Oreochromis niloticus: one gene and its partner. The protein of the gene in region 1 interacts with the protein of each later gene in a biochemical or structural test. Links are inferred from orthologs where the notes say so. Each region holds a gene or a part of one and is shown on either strand. Other genes may lie near its edges.

Region 1 (8,098 bases):
CGGACTCGAAAAAACAACAACAACTATATTCTAGGAAAAAGATAACTAAATGAAATTAAGTTGTACAACCACCAAACTGAAATAAACGAAATAAATAAATACATGAAAATATGTAGGAAATGTTGTTTTCAAAGCCTGCCTGACTAAGGCTTTGATGCATTGTATGGTGAGACTTGAGATTTCTACATGACTGCCTTATTCTATTCTGAAATAGTGGACAATGATGTTTGCAGACGACATTGTGATTTGTAGTAAGAACCAGGAGTAGGTTGAAGAGCTGAAGAAAGTCAGTAGAAGTATGACTAAACTAGACTAGAGAGGTGAAAAGGTAAAGTTTCAAGGAGCAGAGGTTGCAACGTTGGATGAGTTTAAATACCTGGGGTCACATCCAAGACAACAAACAGTGCATAAGAGAGGTTAAGAACAGACAGTGGTGGAGATGAGTGTGGGGGGTGATTTGTGACAGAAGGATAGCAGCAAGAGTAAAAAAAAAAAGGCTTACAAGATAGTTGTGACACCTGCTGTCATGTCTGGTTTGGAGACGGTGCTACTGACAAAGAGACAGGAGGCTGAGCTGGAGAGGGAAGGCTCAAATGGTTCGGGGATGTGCTGTGGAAGGATGGTGGATGTATTGGACAAAGGATATTGAATGTGCAGCTGCCAGGCAGGAGGAAAAAAGGAAGTCCACCACGAAGATTCATGGATGTAGGGAAGGAGGACATGCAAAGGGTTGGTGTGTCACAGGAGGATGTTAGGGGCAGGGTGAAATGGAGGCAGATGATCTGATGTGGCGACCCCTAAAGGAAGGAGTCGAAAAATGTATGTATTCTGAAATTATTAGCAAATTATTATTAGCTCTTAATAAAAATTTTCCCTATTATAAAAGAAAGTTAGAACTTAAAACAATTTAAAATGGAAGCAAGCAAATCCATAAAGTGAAAACTGTAAATTTTCAAATTTACATTTTTGCAGAAAAAATGTTAAATCTGTCTATTTTTTATTGAGATAAATGTATTTATTTGCAGTTGTGCAGGAAAAATTTTAATGGTTGGATGGAAGTCCAGTTTAGGAAAATCAATTTTGTTTAATGTGTCTAATAGAATAACAAAATCATTTTTAGTTTTAAACAGATTTTTGAAATATTTTTACAGACTTTATGGCAAGTAATCTAATAGATTTGTTAATTACTGTAACTGTTAGGGTGACAAAATCCTAAGCTTAGTCTTACTGTAGAGGCTAAGCCTACGCTTGAAGCCACTGAGGTACTCAATGACAGGGATGTCACTGGTATGCATGAATATATTTAACTTGATACAGTCCAATAACTCCAGCCTTACTCATCTTGTCCTTTAGATTCTTTATTTCCACAACAAAAAACTCAAAAAGTGACCTTTAGCGGCATACATAAGGTATCAACCCAAATGACTCCTACACTTATTTACATAAACTCCTACTACTGTAAAGGTGACTTGTTATGCTTAAATATTTAAATCTATCTATCTATCTATCTATCTATCTATCTATCTATCTATCTATCTATCTATCTATCTATCTATCTATCTATCTATCTATCTATCTATCTATCTATCTATCTATAAGATAAGATAAGATAACCTTTATTAGTCCCACACGTGGGAAATTTGTTTTGTCACAGCAGGAAGTGGACAGTGCAAAAGTTATGAAGCAAAAATTAGAATAAAATAAAATAAGAATAAATACAGTACACAACTGTACAGAATAGAATAAAATAAAATACTATATACAGTAGAATAAAATAGAATAAAATATACAATAAGATAAAAATAGAATACAAATGCTATATACAACTATCTATCTATCTATCTCATAAAATATGGCAGTGTTTTGGAGTCACTGAATCACCTCTTTAAACTTGATTATAGACAGTGGGACAATTTTGGCAAAAAGGTCAAGATTTGGTCATGATGACCTGTCTGATCGAGCATCAGTATGCGGAAGAAGGGTGATTTAAGTGACTTTGAACATGGCATTGAACATGCATTGGTGGTGTCAGACAGACTGGTCTGAGTATTTCAGAAACTGCTGATCTACTGGGATTTTCCCACACAACCATCTGTAGGGTTACAGAAGATCCAAAAACAGAGAAAATATCTAGTGATCAACAGTTCTCAAATGCTCAAATGTCAGGGGTCAGAGGACAACAGCCAGACTTTTTCGAGCAGATAGGAAAGCAATAGCAACTCAAATAAACCACTTATTCTAACAAAAGCATGCAGAAGAGCATTTCTGAAAGCACAACATTCTTAAAGCTACAGGGCTACCGTTACAGAAGATCATACTGGGTGCCACTCCTGCCAGGTAAGAACAGGAAACTGAGGCTACAATTAATGCAGGCTCACAAAGATTGGACAATCAAATACGGGAAAATGTTGCCCAGAGTCTTTCTGCTATAAACATTAAACACGAAAGTACAAATCCATCCTGCCTTGTCTCAATGGTCAGGGTTACTGCTGGTGTTGTAATAATGTGAGGACATTTTCCTGGCCAATTTTGGGTACCAACTGAGCCTACCTGTGATTATGTCCATCCCCTCATGACCACAGTGTGCATATTTTCTGATGGCTGCTTCCAACAGGATAACACACCATGTCACAAACCTCAAATAATCTCAAACTGGTGTCTTGAATAGGGATGGGTATCGAAAACCGGTTCTTGTTGAGAACCGGTTCCCACTGTTTCAATTCCTTGGAATTGTTTGCCATTTTTGCAAACGATTCCCTTATCGATTCCAGTCGCCCTGAATGACGTCACCACGTTGCGGAGCGTCATTTACCTGGCAGGGCGCCTAAGCGGCTCAAACGCTCAAAAGTTTGATTATACTTTACGAGAACGGATGACAACAGGGCAACTTGCAATACTTGCAAAGTAGATATTTAATTTAAGGGAGGAAACACTACGAATATGCAAAAGCGTTTGCTCACAAAACACGCGATAACCTTAAATGAATGTCATGTTTTTAATTCCGCTCCGGACTCGTGAATCTCAACCCAGCAGCAGCGGTAATGTTTGCACGTCCTCTCCCGTTAATACGGCAGGTAAATAATCAGCTAACAGTGCATATTATGTTAGCGCGATCTGCCTTATTACAAAACCTGCCATTACTGTGCGCTGCATTTAGGCGACCATGATGAGAGAGACAGAGTCTGGCTGGCTCAGATGCTGGCAGTTCTCGCTGCAGTCTACCGGTAGTGTCTCCTTTCAGGCCAGGATAGACGAATGTCACCGAGCAGCCTTTTGTGGTCAAAGGCTTGCACCCATTTGCCACAGCAGATGCCCCCGATTTTCCGTAAGTGAATGTGTTTAATTGTAGGCAGGGACATTACTGGATATTCTTGTGTAATTGCTACAGAATAATTTATGTTAAACTTTGTAAATGTAAAATAATAAAGTAAATATTCTTCTGTAGCAATAACAATTTTTTTTCCTGGGGACCCTGTGACACCCCATTGAAGAGCCGTAGGCTGTGGATCTCTTAAGATCTCACTGTTGGTTTTGTAAGGCCATGTTACTCCTAAATTTCTATCTTGTTCAAAGAGAAGATATAAAACAAAGTTCTAAGCTATTCGACCTTAGTGTTCTCCTTTTTTAAAAAGAATCGATAAGAGAATCGATAAAGAATCGAATCGTTAAACAGAATCGAAAATGGAATCGGAATCGTGAAAATCTTATCAATACCCAGCCCTAGTCTTGAACAAGAAAATTAGTTCACTGTGCTCAAATGGCCTCCACAGCCAGTTTACCTCAGTCTAATAGAGCACCTTTGGGCTGTGGTGGAAAGGCACATTCACATCATGGATGTGCAGCCATGTGCAGCAAATCTGCTTCTATTGTGTGATGCTATCATGTCAATCTGAACCAAAATTTCTGAGGAATGTTTCCAGCACCTTGTTGAATGTCATGAAGACTTAAAATAGTTCTGAAGGCAAAAATGGCTCCAGAGCAGTACTAACAAGGTGTAGGTCACCTAAAAGTGTGTCTGGTGAATAAATGTTAATTGTGTTGTTATTTTTGGTGGTGTATTGCTCAGGCACGTTTCTGTCGTACACGAATACGAAAAAAACTGTGTGTGTAATTTTAGTCAGTTATTGTTAGATTAGAGTTAACTTAATTAACCAACATTAAAGGAAACCTATCATACAACGTAACAAAAGTGATCCCGCTTATCAAGTTAAGTATTTATCTATTGAATAAATTAGGAAGGCTGGTTTAAACAGTGGGCGTTTCTTAATTTTGGTGTTCAATGTAGCTGATGCTGATCTTTCAGTATCGATTAGATTTGAGAGTTTTTTAAATGGACCTATCGCTGGCGTGTATCAGATGTACTTTTCACTCTATGTGACTGATAGGGCTTTTTGTCGTGACGCAGCTCTATCGCTGCATTTCGATTGGTTTGTCTCTTCTGACGTTTCACACCACTATGCCGCTCATTGGTACGTGCTTTAAGGTTCAACTGAGGATCGTATTTTTGTTCCTGTGTCAACGTAGAGAAGAAAAGAAGAACGGCGATCATCAGCCAGCCGGCTAAGTTTTCATCGAATATAGTTTTTCACTCCTCTAGACTCTATTAGAAACGGTTCTTTATATCTGACACCAGCCAGACACCCACCACCCAAGCAGAGCTCCTTTTTGAAGATGGTAAGATCAACCTCTTAGCTAACGGCTAATGGGAGACACTGCTAGCTCTAACCGATTTTAGCTGTCGAGTTTTTTTTATTTTTCGATTTTTATGGGCGGTTGTGTCTATTTGTTAAAAGTTAATGCGTTTATTTAATGTCTTCAGATGTATATTCGTGTAATTAATAAGTACCTTCATACACAATAGAAACTATTACCACTAAACCAAAAGCTTCTTTAACACGAACTCTAATCGAGGCATTTGCTAGGCTAGGTATGCTAACGGTAACATAAAGTTAACATTGCCCGTCGATTGCTTAACTGATATTAATTATCTACTGTTGTGCCTTTAAAGCATACTTCAAGTTGATCAAGTTATAACTCCTCTGACTTCTGTGAGGATGCTTAACGTGGTGCGGGGACCGCTGGCTCGATGATGAAACCGTAGCTCCCCCAGAGGAGCTCCAGCTCATGTTCATTACGTAAATACGTGTTAAAATTAGGAAGATAATGACTAGCAAGCGCGCATTACATAGAAAAGCGTGTGTAAAATGATAGCAGATCCGCAGAGGAAAATGTAGATGGTCTCAGGTGGTACCGATGATAGATTTTTCATCTGCCATATGGCCGATCGACACATTATTAAAATGTGTGAAACGAAATCATCAAAGCCATAGAAAAAAATTATGCTTTAGTGTGTAATTAGTCGATACCTACATAATAAACATTTTGATAATGTTAAATTTACTTCACTCACACTCGCTGTATATTAAAGAACAGGTGTCCGGTGTGCTAACAGACCAACATATTGAGGCAGTGTCATATTTATTTGTTAGTCCAAGTTTAGGAAAGTAAACACGTGGCTGTTAAATGTTTACATCTACTGAGACATTCCTACAAAGGTTTTTGCAGTAAGCCAAAAACTAGGTGTGAAATAAATATTTGAGTAGACTGAAATACAAAAGAAAGTGAAAATCAAAATGTAGAGGAAATAGCCTTAGCTTTAGCCAGTTTGCTTGTCAACATAAACTGTCTAATGCTGCAACTAAATATTTTCAAAGATTAAAAATGAAAAACTAAAATGAGCGAACCCATTCTGGAAATTAAACGAATGCTTAAAAATAAAAAGTCAAAACATGTGGAAAATATAAACTAATTTTTTTTTAAAAAGTCCCCAAGTCAGCTGAAGTAACACTGAATGGTGTAAGACAGTTGTTGCTATAGAAAAGGGAAATAAATGTACATTGTACAAACTATCACATAACAATATAGAACAAAGTTTAGACCCCTTTTCTGCTTATAGGAAGTTGGGGGGAAAAAACGTAATAAAATGTGCTTCATTTTTTTCTGGACATTCTTGATGTCAAAACTGCATAATTTGTTTAAGTCTACTTCTCAGCATTAGTAACACATCCCATTGTCCTACACAAGGATATTCTTTTCTTTTTTCTGAATCTGGTGATCCTATATTTGTTGAGTTTTTTTCAGCTGCTTTGGCTAACATGGCCTAAATGTAAAGCTTTATCTTAACAGTACCTGAGGTGAAGTTAGGGCCTTCATTTTTCCTCATTCTTAGTGAGAGTACAGCTTGATCATTCCTCTCAGCGCTGTTGCTAAACCATTGTTATGTCTCTCCAGAACTCCAATGTGGAGAATTTGCCACCTCATGTTCTTCGCTTGGTCTACAAAGAAGTTTCAGCTTTAGCAGCAGATCCACCCGAGGGCATTAAGATTTATCCCAGCGAAGAAGACATAACAGAGCTTCACACAGCAATAGAGGGACCAGGTAAGGATTATGATATGGTGTCATCACTTCACACTTAGAGCAGGACCGACACAACTCTTGGGAGTAAACTCACCACGTGTATTTGCTGTATGGTCTTTTGATAAGTTAGGGCTTTAGACTCTCAAAAGTTTCTTTAAGATCTCTAGTTTGAATCAGATTTGTCAAGTTTATCCTGACTCAAAATATATTTTATCATAAAAGTTCAGTACAGAGCATTTCGTATTTCATTAAGTAGACAAATTGTCAGAGACTGACGAGTAAAATATACTTAATGAAACCATACTAATTGTATTACTTCTTTCCTCGAATAGCTAATGTGGAAATTTATTTTCAAAATCTAAGTTATTCAGTGATAAAATATCCTAGTTTAGTCACCTTGCAGCTTGTATTTTCAAGGGTTTTTTGTGTATTCATAAATATATTATCTCTCAGGGTTTTTCCTGCATGCAAAAATTTCTAGGTTTCTATCAAAAATATTTTAGCCCCTTTTCTTTTTAGACTGTATTTTATTTACTTCAACATTACATGCATTCTTGTTTTTTAAAATGTCCAGAAATAAATTCAGATTTCTGTTAAGTAAGGTGACAGAGACTCGCCGCCTTCACTGTGTGCCAGGCAGTCGTGCTAGTGTGTTCTGGTCATTAATCAAAGGGTCACCAGTGTCCAGGAAAAAACCTGAGCTCTGCGTCATGTTTGCAGCGAACTGTGCATTTAAAGTGTGTTAGTTACTTCACCACTCAGCATCCAGAAAAACAGCTTTATACTCTAATATTTAAAGGCTGAGAGTTTCTTATTGATAGCCAACTTTGTATTATCAGCTCAAGGTAATAACATGACTGGTGATGGCTGAGCCGAGTCAGCTGTCTGCTCCATGATTTTTAGGTATTATGTGGTTAACTATTGAAGCTTAAATGGAAGCCATCAGCTTTCATGGAATCTTTTACTTACCTGTACATAATTTAGTTTTTGTGCCATTAATTTGTAGAATAATAAATCCTCAATGCCTGTTTTACATTTCTATTTCCCATTCGTGGATCCTTCAAAATTTATGATGTCGTGTAATCACTTAAATTATGGATTTTGTGGGTGTTGTTAATGTCATGTGAGACACATAAGCCACTTGAACTATCATGATATCTTGCCACTATGCACTCATTGCTTCAGACGTTATTTTTAAGTAGGCCTTGAAGAGCCAGACACTTGTCCACATTTTCTACTCCTCCACAGAGGCCCGTCGCTGCATCAGTTTCATTTATTGGGCACTGACATTTAGTATTTATATCTGATTTCAGATCAGGTAATTCATTATGTTAAAGCGGCAGTACAGTGTGTTTCATAACGTCAAATTTATGTCGTTGTTACTCGGCATACCTGGTTGAAACGATAACGGGTTAAAAGCTGAAGCGTACACAGACAGATGGTGATGATGGTCAAACAAGAAATATCAGGTTATTTCATTGGAAACTGCTAGAAGTTAAATGCAGGAAACTGACTTAAGAGCAAGCGACAAGAATTTGAAATGGCCTTGTGGCCAGAATTTTTTTTCTAAATTTCCTTACTCTTCTCTCGCTAAAGAATATTGTGTTTATTTCACTTTGTTACCACTGATAAAAGGATAATATTAGATGATTTTTGTACACAAACCTCCCGTTCCCTAGA
Region 2 (8,159 bases), on another chromosome or scaffold:
CTTTCAGGGTTTGAAAGGACATTTTAAAGTCGTGTCAAAAAGTACATCATGATTGTCCTTTGACTTTGGTTCTGGTATTTCAAAAACAACAATGTCATTACCTCTTCCTCTGCAGTGAAATGTTGTCTTTTTCTTTTTATGTCTGCGCTGCACCGCTGGGCCACCGTCATCACGGGTGCTGATTGCAGATGAACTTTTTCTTGTGTACAGGCAGACAGACGGGCAAACTCGAGTCGGTAAACGGCTGAATTCTGTGGCACCACCGTTTCTTGTCTACAGACATTTTGTCAGGAGAGAAACAAAAATAATTTGCCAGATTTTCTCCTCGACACGTGTTCTGTCCTCGTAGTAAGGGATGCACTGACTGTGAAATACTAGGCCGTAATCCAGCACTGATACTGACATTTTTTTTTTCAGTATTTATTTTGTTTTTGTTCTAGGTGAAATGAAAAGAAAAAAAAAAACTTTATTTAAAAAAAAAATGCATGTTTTAGCTCTTCATGGAACAGTTTTTGAACATTTAGCCAGCGCAAAAGTCAGTAACGCCATCTTATCAGCTGATACTTGGCTGATTCATCGGTGCATCCCTACCTCATGCTTTGAAAATATATATAAAAAAATAATCTTAACGTGGAACGGCCGCAGTTACTTTGCTTTCTGTCAAGCGTCTGCACATTTGAGGAACTCAAGTTAAATGAAGCAGTCAAGGAAATGCCTTGTCACTGATTGGTGAATGTGCTACTGATTGGCTGGCGCTTGCTAACCAATGAAATGCCTGAATTTGGACGGTTGTGGTCAGTTGGGTGGAACTGCCATCGTTACTTTTCCAGAGTGATGTAGATTTCAGTGTGCTTTAGGGGTGAATGTTTCTTTGTGATTTATCATTTGACAGCGCGCCAGTAGACCACATCGATACTGTACAAGTGCTAGTGTTGGTTTGTTTGTGTTTTGGAGACAATTGATGGGTGAAGTGGCATGGCGGCCTGCCGCATGCTCACGCGGTGATTGGGTTTACGGATCTCTTATTTAAGATTTAAGATATAGCCATTTTAAGAGCCATGTGTCAATGAATAATACCATTTTAGCCTTTGTAAGCATCACTTAGTCACCACTGTAATAGACAAGCGATCGTGAGTCGAATGAACATTTCATTTTCTTTTTTAAAACGTGTTCTATTTGGTTGATAAGCATTGATGACTTCGCACAGATCAGACTCCCCGTCGAGGGCAGAAATGTTCAGCTTTGCCAAGAGTCATTGGGTGCTGTTGCCATGGTTACACAGTGCAGCTGACAACAACGGCAAAAAAATAAGAGGGGGGGGGTTTCCTCATACATATATGCACACAGATGCCACACTGGTTGTTGCTCTTCACTGTAATGACTTCACGCAGCGCCATGTTCCTCGGGCAGCGCACATCTGCACACGATCACGGATCATTGTACCTCGCTGAATTTTCAACAGATTTTCGAGCAGTTTGGGTTACAAACGTTAAAACTTTGTTTATGATACATGTGCTGAAACAGTTATAATGCTTAATCTAATGTTACAGTCCGGCAGCTGCTTCTTTGTGATACTCTGCTGTAAAAAGCAACAGGATTACTGCATCACTTTAACGTGTTTATTGTCCCGTCAAAGTTTGACTTGAAAAGAGAGCTGCAGATGAGCCAGTGTTGGTCTTTCTCTCACTCCTGCAGTCTGTCTTTATTCTGGGACTCTTTAACCAAAACAAGTCCCCCTGAAAGCAGCTCTGTAGGTTTCTGTAGCTCACATGACTCAAGTCTTTCTAGAGCATGTTGGAGCACTTGGACCGAATATCAGATCAAATATTTAATGATAAATAAAATATGAATCTCCTTTAGCTGATATAAGACAGTCGGGACTACTTTTTGGTATACCAAATTAAAGACATTTGTAACGGTAAAACAACTGTGGAAAGTTGGTTTTAGCATTTCTTTCACTGAAACATCAAAAAGAAGCACAAAAATTTGGCGTTATTTATAGGACTGGATGACAGGAAATGCTCAGACCTCGTGAGCAAGACAGCTGTGGCATCTGTGTGTTCATATTTGTTTTCCCTCCTACGAAAAAAAAAAAAATAAGGACCCTGCCTGTTTTTGATACACAAAACTGCTTCTTTTTTTCCTTTTTTTTTAATAGTTACTGGTTAACTTGTGGTATCTACATGTCATTAACTGCAATAACATGAATTGTTTTACTGAGTGGCCCTCTTCGTGATGAGGGCTATGGGTGTGTGATGGGGTAAAGGGGTGAATGTTAATTACAGTGGGGGGAGGAAGATGCCTGTAAAATGTGTTTCTCCACTCTTCTCTCTTCCTGCTCTAAGACGGCACACTTGACTTCACCTGGTTATTCCTTCAGGCGATTTGATCTTCATCTTCTCACAGGTTCGACTGATGAGGCAACAGTTCAAACCTGACTACTGCTTTATATTCCTTTTACTATTCTCACACTTTCACACTCCAGTTTTGTGTGTAGATCTTAGAAAGCAGAGTGGACCTTTTTTGAATTGAAGCTGTAGGCATAAGTAAGTGTGCTCAGATGCGATGGGTTTTCATTTCCATTTCAGTTCATTCTCTTGAACACCAGAAATTTCACCTGCCTCTGACTTTAGCTGTTGGAGGGTGAGCACCTCTCACCAACATCTCACTGAAAAATGAGGGCTATAACTGTCTGTCGTGACTGTTCATCACATTCATCAGTCTCTCTGCTCCCTGTTCATCTTTGCATATCTTCTCTTTACCTTTGTGTGAGATATTGTGTAAAAAGGATGTGTGGATTAATGAGAAAATGGTGGCTTTACGTTTTTCAGCATTAAACTTGAATTATAAGAAACTGCAGACTCCTGTCACGGTTATTTAAGTCCTGTATTAAAATGTTTTTATTACTTAGAACTAAAAATTGCTTTTACATTCCTTGCAGTCATCTGTTAGTGACATGGTGATCTGTGAAGTTACAAATACGGGCCTCATGCTGCATCTCCAACTCCACTAATGATCAAAGGTTCTCTGCACTGAGTGACCTGCATTTCATCACTGAAAGTTGATCATCTCAGATTCTGTAAAATGGAAATGGTGCTTGTTTCCCTTAATGTAAAAATAATGTTAGAAAAAATAGAAACGGATACATAAAATTTTAACAAGATGCAGGAATAGAAAGTGTACACAAAAATGTCCGGGAGAAGGAAGACCAGATGTGCTTCCAGTGCTGTAAGTGTGAGCATTACCTCAGCACACTGGATTGCAGACCAACTACATCTAGTGGACATCTAGCATTACAATTGCTTGTAAAGAAAACAAAACAAAATGGAGACGTGTCAAGGTTTTCATGTATGTGTGCATATTTGTCCTCAGCTCGCTCTTAGCCCATGACTGCACATACACCAAACCAACACCACTGTCAAATTTGCTGATGATGGCAGGTGACGAGTTCAGCCTCTGACTGTATGATGTTGTCACAATAATCTGGACGTAAACACAGCAAAAAGCAGAGAAGCAATGTAGACTTAAGAAACCTGAAGCATACCGAGCACTCTGCTCCAGGCGTACAGGTGGAGGAAGTGGAGAGCTTTAAGTTCCTTGGTGTGGACATCCTGGTCGATCTCACCCACACCACACATCTCCCATCGGGTGGGGAAAGGCTTTATATCCTTAGGAAGTTAAAGATCCTCTCTCATCACCTGCTGACCAGCTTCTCTCAGTCAACAATAGCGGGCCTCATCATCTATTGCTGCACGGTGTGGTTCATCAAAAACGGAAAAGACCTGCTTGGGTCATTCCAGACGTGTGATACTACCATCCCTGAGTGAGATTTACGCAGGATGAGTGCAAAAAAAACTAAGTTTAATGGATACATCCTCAACATCACCTGAAGCAATGCCACAGTCCTCTGGAAATGGTTCTGCTTCTGATTGAGCTCTAACAGATTACAATAGATTACAAATTACAAAACAGCTTCTTCCCACAGGCAAGTCAAATACATCCCCCCAGTTCTTCTCCTATTCTACTGCAATAAACCCCTACCCCAAGAACTACAAGTGAATTAACCCCTGTCCCTCTCATTCTTCATTTTTTGCACTGTATATTATAATCATCATGCACTATTATTTTGCATATACTACCTCGCTGTTTGTATCCTTTTATTTTCATATTCATGCTCTTGTCTGTTTTGATGTTGCTGCGAAAACTAGTTGTTTTAAACATTAACAATAAGGATTTATTTATTAATTTCCAAATGTGCTGCTTTTATGTGCACATTACAGATTTATTGTTGTACAAGTGTCCATCCTGCAAATATTTCAATTTCAATTCTGTTTAGCCCCTTAAAAAATCATTGTTATTATTTCTTATATTATAGAAAATATCAGGTAGGTCCAAATGAATGAGATTGCCTCAAATGGTCAATGATAGAATAAAGGTTCATTAAAATAAGTATGTTTGTCAAAAAATAAGCAAGTGTAAACATTAGAATGACAGCATCACCTTTTCAAAATCGTTACAGAGCTCGTGAAACATCTGGCAGGAGCTCCTTTGTGTTACTAACCTGATGATGTCAGGATTGTTTTCTTTAAAATCAGATCTTTGGTGCTCTTTTATTTTGAGGTTTCCCCCCATCCGACTGTAGAGGGCAGCATGCGCCATCCCGGGACATAGCCTGGCAGTCTTTCAACAGAAGAAGAAGAGACGATTTTTGCCCGGGTTGCTAAAACATCACTTTTATGTTGTAGACTTCAGTCAAACAAGCTCTAAATGATTTGTTTTTTGCTAAGAAACGGACTAACCTAACGAGTGTGAGATACCTGAAGGAGACGGTGGTCGCTGCCTTGTACGTAAGAACGTGTTGCTGAACATTAATATTCAGAAATCGTGTGTCAACATTAGCTTTCGTGCTAGCGTTAGCTGCTCCGGTGTGATGCTTTTGTGCTCCTGTCAGATCCGCAGGATGAAGGTGAAAATCAAACAGTGGAACGGGGTTGCCTCCTGGCTCTGGGTGGCCAACGATGACAACTGTGGGATCTGCAGGATGGCCTTCAACGGCTGCTGTCCTGACTGTGAGTATCAGAGCTAATAACATAGCATTAAGTAACGAGTGTCCGCATTAAAGATGCAAACATAACAAAACAAGATTATTATTTTGGTGGTTTTGCTTCTAAAACATATAACGCTTTACGTATTATCCGATCGACAATATGCCAAATTTATCCTGCCCCTCCCGTTTGTACAAACTAAGTAGTGAGAACGATGGCAGAGACGGGAAAAAATCACCACTCTACAAAAAAACTTTTCTACAAGCTGTGGAACAATTTTAGAAAAATGTTCCTCAAAATAAAATTGTAAAGCCTCAGAATATCGCGTCGTCTACAGCACATAGTATCTGTGTGAAGGGGTTAAGGGCAAAAATCAATAGGATACCTGTGATCTTAGGGCTGTACTGCATTTAAAACAGACGCGATTTTGTCATGGAAATCACTGCAAGGGCTCAATAACATTTCCAGAAATCACTGTCAGTGAAGACAGTTTTACCACAAATATCCACAAATCCAGGTTTGTGTCATCCAAAGAGCAAACTGTATGTGAACATGATCAACATCTCCTCTGGGCTCATTCAAAATGGACCGAGGCAAAGTAGAAAAACTGTTCTTAGGTCAGATGAATTGAAATTTGAAATTGTACTGGGTCACCACATCCTCTGGACTAAAGAGGAGAGGAACCTTCCTGGTTGTTAACAGCACAGACGCTGTTGACACGGTAGCATGAAGGAAAAGGTGTCGCTGTGAGAGGCGTCTGAAAGATATTAATTTGGGATATTTGTGGGAGAGATTAACTTCTTGTGAAGCTTGTCTGGGCTCAGCCTTACAGACAGGATGAGCACTTTAGTCAGGAGACGCTCAAAGCAGAACCTCAGCTCCTCTAGATCGAAAGGAGACACTTGAGGTTGTTCTGGTGGTGTTTCAGGCATGTCCAACTGGGAGGAGGCCCCGAGTTAGGATAAAGAGCTTCCACCACCACTTATCACAGATAAGTTGCGATGGAAAATGGATGGATGGCTGCTCCAGTGACCCATCTTGGAGATCAACTCCAGCTGCAGTGTCTTGTAGTATTGTCCGTAGGTTCTTTAGGTTGATATTGAAGACCGCCACAACAGCAGCTAGGTCTGTGAGCCACTCACTGGAGAAAAGGCAACACGGGAAAGGTCACGGGTAGCTAGTTAGCAGCAACTCAACTTTCAAAATAAGAGCAAATGCCTAAATTGATCGGGGAATGGCGCTGCTCACACAAATGGATGAAATGAGTTCTTAAATATACTTAAGTGGTCTGTGTGGGGAAACACTTGTTTTATCCTCATTTAGTATTACAAGAGGATACAAGTATCTGCTAATCAGCAACTGAATGCAAAATCCTGCCCAGTATCTCTAATGTGTTTGTTTGTTTGTTTTGCAGGCAAAGTGCCTGGGGATGACTGCCCGCTGGTCTGGGGTCAGTGCTCCCACTGTTTCCACATGCACTGCATCCTGAAGTGGCTGAACTCACAGCAGGTCCAGCAGCAGTGCCCCATGTGCCGGCAGGAGTGGAAGTTCAAGGAGTGAACCTGTGGAGGCGTCGCTGCCACAGAGACGAAAGGCTCGCTCACAGACTTTTATGTAGACTGTAAATAAATCTGTGTTGGTACTTCTACTAATGCAGAACACACGCTGAATATGTTTTATTCTACTGGTAAGGATTTGTGATTAAATTAAATAAGAAAAAAAACATGCATTGTATTGAGTCTGTCTTGAAGGTCTGGCTGATTATTTCCTTGGATCGTGAAGTTTGACTTTGATTTCATGGCAGCTCCACACTGATGTATTATTTCTTGTTTGTTTGTGTAGCTTTTCACTGTAAAACAAAGACTGTAGCTTTTCATATGTCAGAACCTGTCTGGATAAAAATGGAAAAAAAATTTACAAGGTTATCAAAACAATGCTGATTAAATATCTTCTATTCAATTTATCCCTTAACTCTTGGACGTCTCCAAAAACATAAATTGTTTAAATAAGGTCTTAAATAACTTAAGTGCTCTTTAACAATTATTCTCTAAGTCTGCATCTCTGCTGGAGCCACTACACACCATACTTTCAGAAGATATCCTCTTATTTACTGACACACTGGGGTTGGAGACATTTCTGTAGATGAGCTTAGATCTGGGGACTGTGAAGGCCGTAGCAGATGATTCACATCATTTTCATCCTCAAACTATTCAGTGACCCCTGCTGTGCTGTGGCGGGAGATGACTCCCATCCGGATCCAGGTGTTTCATCAAGAACAAAGGTGGTCCAACATGATCACTGTGTAATGATTTGCACTGACCGTTCCTTCCAGTGCTTTTTATTTCACTCCTCACTCAGGAGCCTGTATTTTTGTCATCAATGATTAATAAAATGTTTGTACTGAAAAATTACAGTCAGTCATTCTAGATTTGCTCCATATTCTCACCTGGCTAAAGTAATTTAGTTTTATATTTTAGTTTTTGTCCTGTAATTTTTTTTTTTAAGTTCGGTTTCACGTAGTAACTAGAGGAAACTGTGGAGGACATGAACATGTCATGTGGTCATCCCAGTTTAGATTCTTTTAAAAAGCTGATTGTATTGAAATTTTTAAAACTTTTAAAACCTTTTATTTTATATTGTTGGTTTATTTGTTCATTTCAGTCACTTTTGTAAGTTTTTGCGAGGACTCAAAAATTAATATATTAATGTGATATATGGCATGAATCCTTTAATTTTATTTCAGTTAACTATGATGTTTGTTTTTAGTTTCAGCTGATTTTAGTTTCTATTTTAATTGCAGTTAACTGTAATAACCTCAGTGCATGACCATCCTGCATGGCGTCTGAGGTTGTAAAAGGCAAAATCACTTTTAACTTCAGGGATATTAATCTGTTCAGTTAGGAAACAGAAGCCATTGCGAGTCCACCTGCTAACCTGCTGTCTCAAGTGTGTGGAGAAGGTACCAGAAAACAGCTGAACAGGGATCCTCTGAACGGCGGAACATGGGGAACTGCCACATGAGGAGCAATATTTCGGACCTTAACTCATCCTGCTGCATGCAGTGAGCAGAAACCTGTTGTAGTTCACAGTTTAAACCGCTGGATGGCAGCATTT

The links.
Region 2: the proteins of ube2s (region 1) and anapc11 form a complex in vitro, tested with the Homo sapiens proteins (31 studies listed by BioGRID). The link is inferred for Oreochromis niloticus from reciprocal best matches to the Homo sapiens genes UBE2S and ANAPC11.

Annotation. Positions count from the first base shown.
Region 1 is NC_031976.2:22,314,849-22,322,946, forward strand, and holds the start of ube2s (ubiquitin-conjugating enzyme E2 S), read left to right. Parts: upstream 1-4,444; 5' UTR 4,445-4,671; coding exon 4,672-4,674; intron 4,675-6,291; coding exon 6,292-6,439; intron 6,440-8,098. UniProt on the Homo sapiens protein: Accepts ubiquitin from the E1 complex and catalyzes its covalent attachment to other proteins. Catalyzes 'Lys-11'-linked polyubiquitination.
Region 2 is NC_031971.2:37,631,568-37,639,726, forward strand, and holds anapc11 (anaphase-promoting complex subunit 11), read left to right. Parts: upstream 1-4,684; 5' UTR 4,685-4,843; exon of another isoform or gene 4,844-4,847; intron 4,848-4,951; 5' UTR 4,952-4,960; coding exon 4,961-5,069; intron 5,070-6,459; coding exon 6,460-6,605; 3' UTR 6,606-7,008; downstream 7,009-8,159. UniProt on the Homo sapiens protein: Together with the cullin protein ANAPC2, constitutes the catalytic component of the anaphase promoting complex/cyclosome (APC/C), a cell cycle-regulated E3 ubiquitin ligase that controls progression through mitosis and the G1 phase of the cell cycle.